Linked DNA regions of Sus scrofa. The protein of the gene in region 1 binds, or shares a complex with, the protein of each later gene. Links are inferred from orthologs where the notes say so. Each region holds a gene or a part of one and is shown in the gene's direction. Other genes may lie near its edges.

Region 1 (8,154 bases):
AGTAGGCCTGAAACTGACAAAATATTGTGAATCAACTATACTTCAAATCAAAATTAGGTGAACCCGAATATAACTTCATTTGGTTGGACTGAAATACATGTGTTTTTAATATCTTGAAAGAATGCTGTAATTATGTAGTATACTTCACAATAAGGCTTTCACTAGGATTAGCAAGTTTGAGATATGCTCTTTCTTCTCAATTTCTGTATTCTCCAAAAGAACCCAATACTACTGAACCTATAAGGGCTGTATGATGCCTAAATATGCCACATCATTTGCTTTATTTAGTCATTTATTATTTTAATTTAAGCCAATTTCCATGAATAGTCTCTTTAGATTTTCCTCTCTCTTGGCATTGTTGCTTAAATAGTCATTTGGACAGTAAAACATTTAACTGTTTAGACATATTAAGGTTTGGTGTCATTTTGCTTATGGTATATTAAAATTTATGCATTGAGTTTTTCCTTTTCTTTTGTTTGGCAGTTATCAGGTGTAAAACAGAATATTAATATTAAAAGAAGTGACTTTATATCCTCCAATATAAAACATTTAAAAAAAAAGATTCATCTAGAAGAGAGCACTATTATGTAACTAAGTACATGATACTACAAAGTACAAGTTCACAAACTGAAAAGCCAGTATAAATGTTTCACGTAAGGAACTGCTAAAATGAGAACAGTTATTTAAGCTTTCAGGTACAATGAAGAAAAAGTTCACATACAAACAATTTAGTGCAATGCTACAGTCAATCTTAAATGGGAAGAGTTTTCTGTTCACAAATGTTCAGTTTTGTGAATTCATGAACTTTAGCCTCCAAATTATTCAGACCCACCATTTTGGTGAAAGATCAGAAAATGTCTTTTTCTGAAACTAAACTGGCTGACACAAACGTATCCCAACTGAAGAAATCCTATAGCTAAATGAAGATTGTAAAACAATAAACTGGAATGTAATCCATGATGGTTTACTTGGTAGTCATACTGTGGGGTGAAGAGAAGACATTTGGGAAAACTTTAATCAAGGTATTGTTGCAAATTAGAGTGTGTAAAGAGAAGCTGATGCAGAGCCTCCAAGGAGTCTGAAGGTCTTAAATGGAGGTCATAAATAGGTTTTTTCCCCTTTTAAATTCAAGAACTATATTCAATTATTTCATAGGTCAGACCCAATCAGAGAATACCTGTCCTTATTCTCTTTAGGAATATTTCTGAGGGAAGTAAATCTCATATATTCTACCCCATGTCCTGTTTGCAGTGATCCTAGTTTTAACTGATGTCAAAACACTTGATCAATTTAGTTAAGAATACTAAGTGATAGGGAAGAAAAAGAGGTGAAAGGTGAGGGATTCCATGTACAAACAGTACTACTTAAATAAGGAGGTAAAAAGTCCTCTTAAAATGGTAAGAAATTAAAGACATGGGTTAATTTAACTTTTCGGGCCAATGGTCACTTGAATATTACATGAATTACAAATGGTGATGGAATCATAATTTTATATAATAGTATAGGACAATATGATTTCCTATGGTCTTATCTCTTTCAGTGTTCCCAAAGAGGCCACTGTGCAGGGAACTGAAAAGCAACTGATCTTTCTCAAATCTTCTTTCAGGAGCATAAGTTTGACATTTTGTTTTGCTTTGCTTTTTGAGGATCAACTCCCTCACTTGTCCAGACTGCATTCCATGTCACTCGCAATTCCTAGGGACAAGAAAATTAGGAACTGTTGAGTTCTGTCTTCTAAACAGAGTATTCCGTTTTGCGTGAAATGCTGATATAAAGGCGGGATTAGCTTGGGCAGAGCAGGTCAAACGCCTACTGAGTTGCCCTTGAATACATGGCCATTTTCTACCTGCTCTCTTGCAGCCATGAGAGTTGATGGGTCAAGGGCAAGTATTCAAGATGTTAGCACGTGCTGAACATATGGAATCACTGAATTTTTGCAACATTTAAAAAAAAAAAAAACCAGGAAAAGTTGTGCGGTCATAATCCAGGTGGTGACCTTTTTTGGGGGGTTAGTTTTAACATTTCTACCACCTTGAGAAGTTATTTGAAGTAAGTGGGCTTGGAGAGGCCGGGACTCTGGGGAACGGAAATTTAAAGAGACTTTGTAGTTGTACTGATGGAGACAGACAACTCTGCTGGCTTCAGGGATTATTAATTGTGGAATGTAATAATATGTAATAATTGTTGAATGTAGTAAGAGGGGAACCAAATCAGTTCCCTTTCAGGAACTCATACACAATTTTGCAAGCGAAAGGCCCACCCTCAGCAAGGCGTGCTAACGCTTCAGCAACTAGGAGTCTGACCTTAGCTCACGCTCGGAGATGACTCCGCACTTAAAACTTTTGCCGGAAGCCGGGCCACGTGACCCGCCCTTTTCCACAGCCATGCCTAGCGGGGCAGCCGCCAGAGCTCCTACATTTCCTAGCCCCTCCAGCGTGGGACAGCTCAGAATCTCCCGACAGGAGGCGGAATCAGCTAGGTTTCGACTCGAGCGTCGCCACAACTCACGCTTTTCTCCAACAGAGCTTTGCAAGTTCTTCATCCCAAAACAGCAGCCGGAGACTTCCGCCTGGTTGCCGACCACGTGATCACGCGACATTTGGGGAGACCGCGGTCGGACTTCCCTACTTAAGTCCCCGGGTCCCGCCCACACAACACCCTCCCCTGAGCGTGACGACGCGGCTCGCGGCGGCCTCCGCCCCGGCGCGCCTGCGCACGCGGCTCTCGCGGTGTCTTGCGCTCAGCCCCGCCCACCTCTGCCCCCGCCCTTTCCGCCCCTCCCTCCCCCTCCGCCCTGTCTCTCGGCGGCAGCGGCGGCAGCGGCGGCTCGCGCAGCTCGTTGGCTCACTATATAAAGGGAGAAGCGGGCGGACCGGACGGCTGGAGCTGCAGCCGGTGGCGGCAGCGGCGGCGCGGGGAGCGGCGACCAGTGGTGGTTTCCCTCCTTGGCGCGGGGTGGGGAGCGGGCAACGCCCCCCAAACCCCAGAAGGGTCGTGCCCTTTTTTTTTTTAAGGGCGATCCTCGAGTTTTTAGCTCCGGGAGGACTGCCCCCTCCTCTTCCTCCCCTCGCCGATCCCCTCTAATCCAGCAGGATCCGATTTTGTTTAAAATTCCCCCCCCAATTTTGCGGTGGCTTGGGTCACCCTCTGGGTGTTTTTTTTTTTTTTTTTCGTTTTGTTTTTATCTTGTTTTCTCGGGGCTTGCCCCCCTCTTGTTTGTGTTGTGTGTGGAAATGGCGAACTCGGCAAATACAAACACCGTGGTAAGGACGTGGTTCGGTGGCCGGCGGGGGCTTCGTTCAGGCGGCAGCAACGGCCGGACCGGGCGGGGGCGGGGACGGCGGCGACTCCCGGCCTCAACTCTCAGCTGCCCGCGCGGCTGCCGCCGCTGCCGCCGCCGCTTCCCGCCTCGGGCGGAGCGGGCCGGGGCGCGGGGCGGCGGGCGCGGGGGGGTGCCGAGGGCTCGGGGCCGCGGCGGCAGGGAGGGCGGGGGTGCCGGCGGGGCCTGGAACTGCCGCGGGGCGGTCCGGGCCGCTGAGGCGGTTGAGGCCGGGATGAGCGCGCGGCCCTGGCCCCAGACCCCATCCGCCAGGAGGGAGGGCGGGAGGGGAGCCTCCGCTTCCTCCCCGAAGCGGGTCCTGCCGCGCTGGCTGGAGAAGGGCTCTCCGAGCAGCCTCAAAACAAAAACCGTGTCTTGGGAACTGGGCGAATCCCCAAGACCCACCGCGATCCACTTTAACGCAGTGGAAGGCTAATGGCTACTTGGGGGTTACTTTGGGTGTTGTGGCGGGTTGTGCTTAGGAGGCTTCACTGGGGCCATTTTACGTTTAAGAAAAAAAAAAAAAAAAAAGGACGAAGGTTGAAAAGCACTTATCTCGGTTCCTTCCGAATCGGTAAAATGGCGAAGGGGAAGCAACCCCCCCCATCGTATCTTCGACTAGCAAAAACACCAAAACAAACAAAGCTTACAGTGGTCAAAGTGCCCCCACTTTCGCCTCGAAATTTGCCTACTTCTCACCGTTTGTCCCTTTTTTCTTACTTGCGATCACGTAGGTTTGCAAAAAGCAGTCACATAAATAACCTTTTCAGTCACCAACGCAATGTGATCACTAGTCCACCCCACTCTCTTATTTTTATTGTGACAATAAAACACGTTTTTGCCCGGTCCCAAATGCAGACAAGCCCGCGGCCGCCCGACTCCGTACCGTTGACGACTCGGGTCGATCCATCATGGCTGCGGCCGCTTACCCTGCCTTTCAGTCCCTGAGCCTTGTGGTCCTCCTCCCTTTGGCTGCCCTGTTTATATAGAGCCATTGCCGCTCTCTAATATAGACTCTGCCAGGATGGGAAGGTGCTTTTCAGGCCTACGTCACCGCCTCTCCATTTAAACACCAGATCCGGCTTTAAATAGTGAGAGCTGCTGAGAGCGGGGCTGGGAGGTGCGTGCTCTCGAGGCGAGAGGCAGGCGTGTGTAGAGCTCAATTTATTTCCAAGTCCTTTCGTACTCTAATTTCATACCCAATCGGGGCTGCTTTAGGAGCCCTAAGTTTTTGTTTTGATGCAGCAGCTGGGACTTAACCTTTGTTAGGGGAAAATAGAATTGCTGTCCCTTTTTATTTTGTGTTTTGTTTTTAAAGAGAATTTTAGCTTAGATGTCTTAATTGTTCCTGTATTGAGAAGATGCATGCATTATTTTTTTTTGTTTTTTGTTTGTTTTTGAAAAGCTTTAGGCATTACCTGTTAGCTGTAGAGGATTTGATTTTGGTAGTGCTTTGTTTATCAAGTATTCAGGGAATGTTAGACTATAGCTCGTAATACTTCATTATTTTTCCTATAATAAATATTTGAGACACGAAGCTTTTCAAAGTAGATAAGTATCTAAAGCTTTGACATAGGACCTCCTGTCAACAATACGTGTATGTATGGGATATTATGAATAATGTGAGAAGGCTTAGTGCAAACTGGGTATTCAAAAATTAAAATTCTAAGTAGACGGTATTTTCATTTATTTGCATGGTAATATGGTATCCAATATAGATATTAATCCAGTTTATTTTCCAATATTGTACTAGAGTCTCAAACTTTTGAAGAAACCCTTTAATCATTAGCTTATGCCACTGATGGCCCTTTAATTAAAGTTTCAAAGTTTGGACTATCTTGTTTTTGAAAAACAGGACAAACCTAGATTACTATGTATTTCATAAAAGACAAAAACTTTGGCTCAAGTAAAATAAAGTTTAGCATTTTAAATGAACTTGCTTAGTTCACATAGTGCCTATGTATTCACATATTTTTAATAACATCAGTATTTTGGACACTTTTTAAATTAATGAGCAATCCTGAATTACTCTTTATGCGTATACTTCTGAAGAATACACATTTCCCTTCCTTCAGCTGTAGTGCATGTGAATCTCTGTGGTCACTTTGCAAGTTAATTAAAGCACCTAGGCAAACTCTTAAAGTAAGATTGATTCATTAAGTAGGGAGTTCCAGAGGAAAGCACATTGTACCTATAAATGTGTGGATCACCAAGCAGATATTTTTAGGGGTGACTGACTTCAGAAACACTAAAACAGCATCTAGTTTGCTGAAAAAATAATTTATATCATCAATATAAGATTTATACTACTAATTTAAAATTATACTGGGGCTTTATAATGCCTTGGTTTAAATATATATATATATATATTTTTGTAATTCAGTAGTTGAATTACCATAGATAAAGTGATATCCATAGTCATATAGACTTTCCTCATTATGGAATCAGTGTTGAAATAAGGAGGCACTATAGAGATGCAGATTTTACACATGAATAATTTTATTCACAGAGGCAGATTTGGAAAAATAAAAAAGGAAGTTAGTGAATGGAACAGCAAAGGTGAGAACCTAGGTACATGAATTGTTTTTCTTTGGTGATGAAAGGGCACAAGTAGTTTTTAATAGTCGAGGTAGGTTGTATGGAGGAACTTACTATTTGTATTGTTGACTAGATAAGGACGGATTTTCTTAGAGGTTTCCCCCTATGATAACTGTATTGCTGATAGAAATGCTAATGAAACGTTTATTTCTGTTTGAGGTTTGCTTATGAGAGCAATCCCTTGGTTTTATTTTAACTTAAGCAAGATATAAAACACAAATAATGACAAAGAATTAGAAGAAAAAGGCTTTTAGCTCTGTATAATAATAGATAGGATTTATAACAAGGTCACTCTGGTTTTATACTCTAACAGGCAAACTTCCTTTTGTCTGTCATGTTAAAAATAATTCCTGTCTCTTACCTTTTGGTTTTAAAAAACTATGTGCTTTTGAAAGTGCTTTCACATCTATTCTCGTTTTATTTTTCTGGCAGCCTTGTAAAAGCAAGCTCCCCTACCAGTAATGCCAACAATAATAACTGCGATGATAATAACAATAATTTGAAAATAAACACTGAGGCTGTTCATGATTCAGTTCTGTAGCATCATCTGGGCAGTAGTAGAAGGAGAGAAATCCTGGAAAAGAGATCATTGTTCCTGAGACCTTGAGACCTGTTATTATAGATACATTGAACAACCTAATGTTATAATTTAAAGGTACAGACTGGGTAACAAAAATAAAAATTAGGTGATTTTTGATTTTGAATACTCATTAGGTTGCAGATTACCAGGCACATGATCACGGGACACAAGGTTTTCTCAAGTCTAAGACAGTGGTAATGTTAAAGAGATGTAACAGTAGTTAAACCAAGCAAGGAATAATAACCAGACATAGCAACCCATAAAACTGTATGGTTGGATAATGTTAAGTGTTTTGACTATAACAACATTGGAAATTGTATGGACCTTGTATGGGTAGTGATCTCCTGTGTATGAATTGTTTTATTAAAACACGCAGTCATTAAAAAACTCATTTTAACTAAGACAAATGGTATTTATTGGAATGGCCATGTCTTTAAAGTTATATTTTCTAAAATAAGTTTTATAGAGTTGGAAAAATGATCATTGTATTACATTTAATTTGTTTTGAATTTGTGAAAACGTGTTGTATATTTTAACATGTGAAAAGCAATCTTTTTCAATAGTCTTTTATTTTCCTTTTAAAGCCTAAATTATACAGATCTGTGATCGAAGATGTTATTAATGATGTGAGAGACATCTTTTTGGATGATGGAGTCGATGAACAAGTTCTGATGGAACTAAAAACTGTGAGTTTGCCTTTTTTTTTTTTTGTCTTTTTGCCTTTTTTTTCTAGGACCACTCCCGTGGCATATGGAGGTTCCCAGGCTAGGGGTCCAATCGGAGCTGTAGCCGCTGGCCTATGCCAGAGCCACAGCAACGCGGGATCCGAGCTGCGTCTTCAACCTACACCACAGCTCACAACAACGCCGGATCCTTAACCCACTGAGCAAGGCCAGGAATTGAACTTGCAACCTCATGGTTCCGAGTCAGATTCGTTAACCACTGTGCCACGACGGGAACTCCAAGTTTACCTCTTTTTTTAAAAACAGTCTCTTCAGCCAGAGACTATAATCCATAATTTTTCCATATGATGACCATTTGACTTTGTCACAAGAGGCAGTATAGTTAAATGAAGGGTACTGGTTTTAAATCTTATCTCTACCATCCATTCTTTCTCTGACCGTAGGCAAACTACTTATATTTCAGTTTCTTTATATGTGAGATGGTAATTACTACTACTTAGCTTTTAAGTCTGTTTTGAGGGTTAAATGTATATATAAAAATGCTTAGCACAGTGCTTGGCAATAGTATTAGCTATTATTAATGGACAGTTAGCATCCATTTATGGTGTAATTACTTGAATAAGTCCTTAATAACAGAATTTCACGTTTTGGAGTCCAATTCTCTTTGTAGACCAAAAATTGTGTTTATAATATATGCTGCTTTGGAACGGCTTTTCTGTCTCTTAGATTTACTTGGGTTTAAGCAGAAATATTTAGATACTTTATTATTTAGCATTTGTGTTTTCTTGCTGATGACTCATGAAATTGGGGAACATTTTTGCCTTACTGCCCATAACGGTGGTTCTCAAAATATGGTCCGTGGAATTCCCCATAGGCTCTTTCAGGGGGTCCTTGAAGTGGGACAAATGCCCAAGTCTGAATAATCATAGTATGTGTGTCATATTTCCAGTAAAAATTGTGTTCCTTGAAAAAAG
Region 2 (6,700 bases), on another chromosome or scaffold:
TGAAGAGCAATTTGTCAACATCTTATATAAAGATATGAATCCCCTTATGACCTACAAATTCCATTGAATTTCATTTTTTGTAGTATTACATTTACTGAACAAAGATGGTATGGGGTTTTTTTGTTTGTTTCTGAAAAGCTATAGAAAGGTTGAAGATAGACTACTTATTCTCTTTTCACCTATAATTTCCAGTTGTCAATATTTTGCTACTTGCTTTATTCTTCATATGTTATTTTTTCTCTTCTTCTGAGAGAATGTTGCAGATATCGTGACACTTTTCCCCTAATTACATCAACATTCATGTCCTAAAAATAAGGTATTTTCCTGTGTAGGCACACTGTCATCATGCCTAAGAAATTTAGCGTTGGAAGTTCCCTTGCGACAGCCTGACCAGTATCCATGAGGACACAGTTCCATCCCTGGCCTCGCTCAGTGGGTTAAGGATCTGGTGTTGCTGTGAGCTGTGGTGTAGGTCACTGACATGGATTCTGAGCTGCTGTGGCTGTGGTGTAAACCAGCAGCTGTAGCTCCACTTCAACCCCTAGCCTGGAAACTTCCGCCACGGGTGCGGCCCTAAAAAGCCAAAAAAAAGAGAAATCTAGCATTGATTTGTACTATCAATATACAGTCCAAATTCAGATTTTCCAAGTTATCCTCAAAATGTCCTAACTGGTTTTTGTCTGTGGGTCTGTGATCCAATCAAGATTGCATTTAGTTATTATACCTTTTTATTCTCTTGATCTCTCAGACTCCTTTTTTTATTATACTTTTTTTTTTTTTGAGATTGAATACTTTTAATTTCATATTCCTAAGAATGATGCAGTCTTGAGGGCCTAGGCTGTCTTCCTGCCTCAGCAGTGTGTGATTGCAAATTGACCAGGTGTGGGCCCTAGTTCTTCCTCATTGTCTTGAAAACAACAAAAAGTAGGTTGGATTTTCTTCACTGGTAGGAAGTGGGAAGGTTTGCTTGATTACATTCTAGTAACTCTTTTTGCCTGAGGTTAAATGGTAGCAGCTCGTCTCTAACACGGGAATGTTTAAGAATCAGTGTAAAGAATGGCACACTTGAAAGTTAATGAAGCTGAGTGATGGTTACATAGTGACAGTCTCTTAAGTCTTCTCTGCTTCTGTGAATGTATGAAAATTTCCATAAATTCATACATTACCTGTGACTTTTTTTTTAGAGAAGGTCTGTAGTCTGGAACTTAAAAGATAGATTTTTTCTTGTTCCCTGGATTATTTCCTTTTAAATGGTGATGGCTTTCCTAAGCCAGTCACTTAGCTTATGGGACACAGAGCTGTGCAGGATGAAAGCTGCCTCCTCTCTCAGTGCCTTGGTTCTAGAAGAAGAGTGCTCTGAGGGTAGGGTGAGATGTTAGTGCATCTCCTGGTGGTGGCCTGGTGTTGCGCGGGGGGTAGACACAGCTGTCTCTGAGCTGGGACGAGCCTGCCCTTGAGCAGCCCGAGAATGGCGTGTGGGATGGACACAGCCCACGGGAGCCTGGAGGCTGTGCTCTGCCCTCTCCCAGGGAAGGACCTTAAGGGACGGGGTGTTAGAAGCAGGGAGCCAGGCCGGGATTCGCCATCTCTCTAGACTCACTCCTGCCTCTCTTCCTGCCTCAGGACTGCACTTGTGAGGAGTTCTGCCCCGAGTGCTCGGTGGAGTTCACCCTCGATGTGCGGTGCAACGAAGACCAGACGCGTCACGTCACATCCCGAGACCTCATCTCCAACAGCCCCCGGGTCATTCCGGTCAGCGACATCCTCCCTGCCCAGGGCCTTTGCTCTTCTCTTGGCTCCGAGTGGACCAGACTCGGGTGGCTCCTTATAAAACACTGGCTTTCCCTGTGTGCCCTCTGCCTTAACCTCAGCCTGGTGCCTGGAAGTGCTGATTCTGGAGTCTTGCCAGGGTGGGCAGAGCCATTGTTGGTGCTCTGGGCCCCCTGTCTCCCAAGGACCCTTTGAAGGCTGTGGTACTGTTTTGTTTTTTGTCTTTTCTCTTTTTAGGGCTGCACCCGAGGCATGTTGAGGTTTCCAGTCCAGGGGTCGAATCGGAGCTGTAGCCGCTGGCCTACACCATAGCCACAGCAACGCGGGATCCGAGCTGCATCTGTGACCTGCACCGCAGCTCATGGCAGTGCCAAATCCCCAACCAGCAGAGGTGCATGGGGACATTGAGCAGCAGCTAATAATGCCTGTTTGGGTTCCCTGCAGGTGACATCCCGGAACCGAGATAATGACCCCAGTGACTACGTGGAGCAGGACGGTAAGGGGCCCAAGAGAGGCAGAGACCAGACCCAGCCTCTCGTGCTGCCTGGTCCTGCAGTGGCGGCGCGGGTCAAACTGCGGAGAACCAGGCCTCTGCTGGCCCTCGCCCACCTCTCCCCTCTCCCCGCAGACATCCTCATCGTCAAGCTGAGGAAGGGCCAGGAGCTGAGACTTCGCGCCTACGCCAAAAAGGGCTTTGGCAAGGAACACGCCAAGTGGAACCCCACTGCAGGGGTGGCTTTTGAATATGATCCCGACAATGCCCTGAGGCACACGGTGTACCCCAAGCCGGAGGAATGGTATGTTCCTGGTGGGAGTGAGGAGAGGCAGGCAGGTCAGGGTTGGGCGGGTGTGGAAGTGGCTCCTGGCGACTGAGGTGGGGCACCTCACCATGAGACCTGGGCACCCCGAAAGCGGCTGCGGCAGCAACCCTGTGCTGATCTATGTCTGACCTCAGGCCAAAGAGTGAGTACTCGGAGCTGGATGAGGATGAGTCACAGGCGCCCTACGACCCCAACGGCAAGCCAGAGAGGTGAGTCCCTGGCTTGGCACCTGAAGGTAGCGTGGTGCAGGCTCTTGAGTGCCGGAGGCCCCTTCGCTTCCTTCTCATTCCCGCCAGCTGAGGAGGGGCTGCTCACTGCTGAACCCCACTCTGTGTACATCCCAGGCAGTTTATCATCCCCCTCGCGGTCACCGTGAGAAAGGGGGGCCCTTCTGTTATTCAGACTGTCCCTATTCTGATTTTCCACACCCAAAGAAAGATCAGCCTAGGATCAAAAACCTATGGCCCTTGGGAGTTCTCTTGGGACACAGCAGGTTAAAGATCCAGCACTGCCATGACAGCGGCTTGGGTCACTGCTGTGGCGCAGGTTCAGTCCCTGGCCTGGGATCTTCCACATATGGTGGGGAGTGGCCCAAAACAAAATACTTAAGTCCCAAATCTGACCAAAGGCTTAGAGTAAAAAGTACGAAAATGCTGGAGCAGGTGACGCTGCTTCCTTGATCTTCTGGCTGCCCTCAGTGTGGAATATGTATAGCAAACACACGAGCTTTGAGAGGCTCACAGTATCCTTTCCAGGTAGCTATGGCCTCCCTGAGGCCCTGCAAAGTGCCCTGGGACCTCTGTTTGTAGGGGGTTAGAGGGAGGCAGTCCAGGGGCTGGAGTTCGTCTGGGGGAAAGGAGTCAGGACTCAGAAGGGAGGGAAGGGGTGGGCCTGTGGCCAGGGTGGGGGCGGCCAGGCTGCCTCACGGAGGCCTCTGACCGGACTCTCGCCTCTCAGGTTTTACTACAACGTGGAATCTTGTGGCTCTCTGCGCCCTGAAACCATTGTCCTCTCAGCACTTTCTGGATTAAAGAAGAAACTGAGTGACTTACAGACCCAATTAAGCCATGAGATCCAGAGTGACGTCCTGACCATAAACTAGCCGCAGCTCACCTGTCTCAGCAGAAACAGCTCTTGAATTTCAGGCCTCTCCTGAGACTTTTGCTCCTGGGGACTGGACAGCTGTTGCTCAAGCTTCCTGGCACACCTGCAGTACTGGCTAGAAAGGTAGCGGTGGGGGAGGGCAGGCCATCCCAGGCTGGCACCGTCGCAGGTTGCCGGGGGTGCCACTGCTGTCGGAGGCGGAAAAGTCTCCTACATCCATTGAGCATCCGTGGCCCTGCCTGCTGATGGGCAGTGGTGCTCTCCACAACGCCGGATGTGCCTCCAGGGGCCCTGGCGTCCCCCGGTTGAGAACCACTGAGCTGGACTCTCCTTTTCTGATCAGTTCAGTGCTTTAGTTTGAATCCTTCCTGTCCACAAATTGGGATTTCGCTCTTGTACCTCAGGCTTCTGTGTTAGGATTGACTCTAGAATTCTTTCTCAGGCCGCCTGCAGGTCCTTCCAGTCCCGGCCCTGACCCGCGTACTGGCACTTCTCTCATATTCCCAGGAGTCCCTAACTTGAGACCCTTTGAGAACACTGTTAGACCCAGGCTGTCCCCCTCTCCCCATCAGTTATGAACTTAACAACAGTGGCCCATTTATTTGTCAGGAGGGCAGGGGACTTAAGGAAAGGTTGGCCTTGCCCCTGGCTCAGCCTTAGAGGTAGGAACATACCCAAAGCAGTTAATTAGGCAGCCTGGCCAGAGAAGCCTGGAGAAAATCAGAGACCTAGTACAGAAAGGAAGGGATGTGTATGAGTTGTCTTTTAAAAGTTTTTATTTTTGGCAATAAAGAGCACAACGTCATCTCCTTCATGCGTCATCGTGCCACTACCTGTGAGCCAGTCAGCTCCGCCTCCCTCTCCGTGGCCTCGGGGCTCCCTTCAGGCTAGCTTACTCCTCTGGGTGGTGGGTCCCTGGGTCAGGTCCAAAGCTGAGCTGGCTGTGGCCACCTCCCTGGCTCCAGGGTTCTGGCGGAGGGGGCCTTTTGCTTTATCCTCCTCCTGCCACGACTTGAACAGTGGTTATTTACAAGGTCTATTCTCACAAATCAGAGTCCTAAAATATTAAAAACAAAAAACTCAACACACACGCAACCGCAGGTTTGATGTGAGTAGAAAGATAGCCCTTCTGCACGGTAGTCAATAAATACCAGCACTAGAAAATCAATTGCTTTAATTGCATTTCAGCAGGGAGCCTCAGCACCATGTGGGGAGGAGGAAGTGGGAAGGTCTTGGTTTCTGAGTACTTCTGGCTGGCCGGGAGCCAGACGGGCAGAGGGGCTCCCCCTGCAGGGGCCCTGCCCACCCCAGTCAGTGAGAGGGCTGCGGGGTGCTCCCTCAGCAGTCCTCCTGCAGCTTGGCCTTCCCTGCTGGCCTGGCCCGGGGGCAGGGACACGCTCGGGTCCGGCCATCCTCCCCCGGCTGAGGTAACCAGCACCCCCAACCCCAGGGTGTCTTCTCAGCCTACTAAGCAGGAAGAAGCCTGGGCAGAAACCATTTTAAACCAGATTTTCACCTGAGGTGTCAACGAGATGTCACCTCTGCTTAAAACTCCAAGTGCAAGGCTGCCAAGTGGCACAATGTATGTTCGGATCCTTCCTGTGCCACTCTGTGGGCCCAGAGGGACTAAGAAGCCGCGTGCTGTCTCCACCCTGGCCTGCTTGGGAGAAGCCAGCAGCCAGAGCACCAGCCGGGAGTGCGGCTTGGCTGCCTCCTCTAGCCCTGGCAGCTCAGGAGGGCTGGTACCTTGGGGGACAGGAAATAGCTGTTCACATTGAAAAACAGCCTTGACTGGGGTTTGGTCATGGGCTTAAAAAATGTATGTGGTGGCAGGGAGGGACAGAGAGGGGAAATCTTATTAATATAGAATATGTCATAAGCCATATATATTAAAATCATTAACAGTATACAGTCCTGTGGTAGCTCCAGCCCCTCACACATGCTCAGGTGGCGTGGCCAGCCCTTTGCCTTGGTCCAGTCTCACCCTTGGGGACAAAGAAGGGACAGCTTGCTTCCTTCCTTCAGGCTCTTGGCCAACAGCCCCTCCAGGCGTCCACAATACGCGGTAAGTGGCCCCGCAGCAGGGGGCCCCAGCAGTCATCCGTGCGCGCCGCTCTGCGGTCACTGGGATGGGGTCTTGGCCTCGCTGCTGTCCCCCTGGCTGGGCTTTGGCTTGAGCAGGATGAATCTGTTGAGGAGGTCCGTTTCTGAGCTGGCCTGGGCTGCCCCATACGCTTCACCTATGGACACAGGGTAGGTTGAAGACGTGATCCCAGGACAGAAGGCCCTGCGGACCCGCCCTGTCCTCCGCAGAGCCTCTGGCCGGTGGGTGTGGGGCACAGCAGTGACTCACCGGCATAGCTGGAGGCCTCGGCGATGTTCTGGGAACCCGTGATGTGGTGCCAGTAGGCACTGCGGGGCAGCATGGTAGTGGGCGTGCAGGGGTATGAGTAATGTTCAGTGCCCTTGTTGAGCAGCTGTGGGGCAGAGAAGGGGCAGTGGCTAAGCCAGAGCAGGCGGCCCAAGACCCTGCCTGCCTCCTCCACACACCTGATGGGTGGGGGCTGCTGGCATGCTCTGCCGCCAGCCTGCCCGCCCACCAGCTCCCCCTTCCCGTGCTGAGCACACCACCTCACCCTCACGTTCTTTTCCATCTCCAGCAGGACCCGCTTGTGCTGCTCGGCAATGGCCAGGGTGGCACTGTGGACCCGCTGGTAAATCTGTTCTCCCTCCTGCGTCTGGAAGGTGTAGAGCCCTTCCCCAGCGTCACACATCCTAGGGACACAAGTAGCACAGAAGGCGAGGTGGTGGGGACTTCCCCGTATGTGTGCAGACGCCCAGTCAGGCTCTTCTGCGCCCCAGGCCCCGGTGGGAACAGGCAGGGCTGTCATCTGAGGATCTGACCCCCCAGCTCAAATGTGCTGAATGTTTTCTGTGTGCCAGGTGGTAGTCTAAATGCTTTACTAGAATTAATCCACTTCGACCATTTTACAGATGAGGAAACG

What was found. The genes of interacting proteins can lie anywhere in the genome.
Region 2: GTF2A1 (region 1) and POLR2C share a complex: the UniProt entries of both Homo sapiens proteins name them as parts of the TBP-based Pol II pre-initiation complex. The link is inferred for Sus scrofa from reciprocal best matches to the Homo sapiens genes GTF2A1 and POLR2C.

What each region holds. Positions count from the first base shown.
Region 1 is NC_010449.5:104,003,951-104,012,104, reverse strand, and holds the start of GTF2A1 (transcription initiation factor IIA subunit 1), read left to right. Parts: upstream 1-2,786; 5' UTR 2,787-3,233; coding exon 3,234-3,263; intron 3,264-4,205; exon of another isoform or gene 4,206-4,292; intron 4,293-7,081; coding exon 7,082-7,183; intron 7,184-8,154. UniProt on the Homo sapiens protein: TFIIA is a component of the transcription machinery of RNA polymerase II and plays an important role in transcriptional activation. TFIIA in a complex with TBP mediates transcriptional activity.
Region 2 is NC_010448.4:19,396,613-19,403,312, forward strand, and holds the end of POLR2C (DNA-directed RNA polymerase II subunit RPB3), read left to right. Parts: intron 1-1,623; coding exon 1,624-1,752; intron 1,753-2,214; coding exon 2,215-2,266; intron 2,267-2,398; coding exon 2,399-2,567; intron 2,568-2,725; coding exon 2,726-2,800; intron 2,801-3,548; coding exon 3,549-3,693; 3' UTR 3,694-4,507; downstream 4,508-6,700. Other genes in the region: DOK4 (docking protein 4), read right to left, coding at 5,817-5,935, 6,049-6,172, 6,332-6,470. UniProt on the Homo sapiens protein: Core component of RNA polymerase II (Pol II), a DNA-dependent RNA polymerase which synthesizes mRNA precursors and many functional non-coding RNAs using the four ribonucleoside triphosphates as substrates.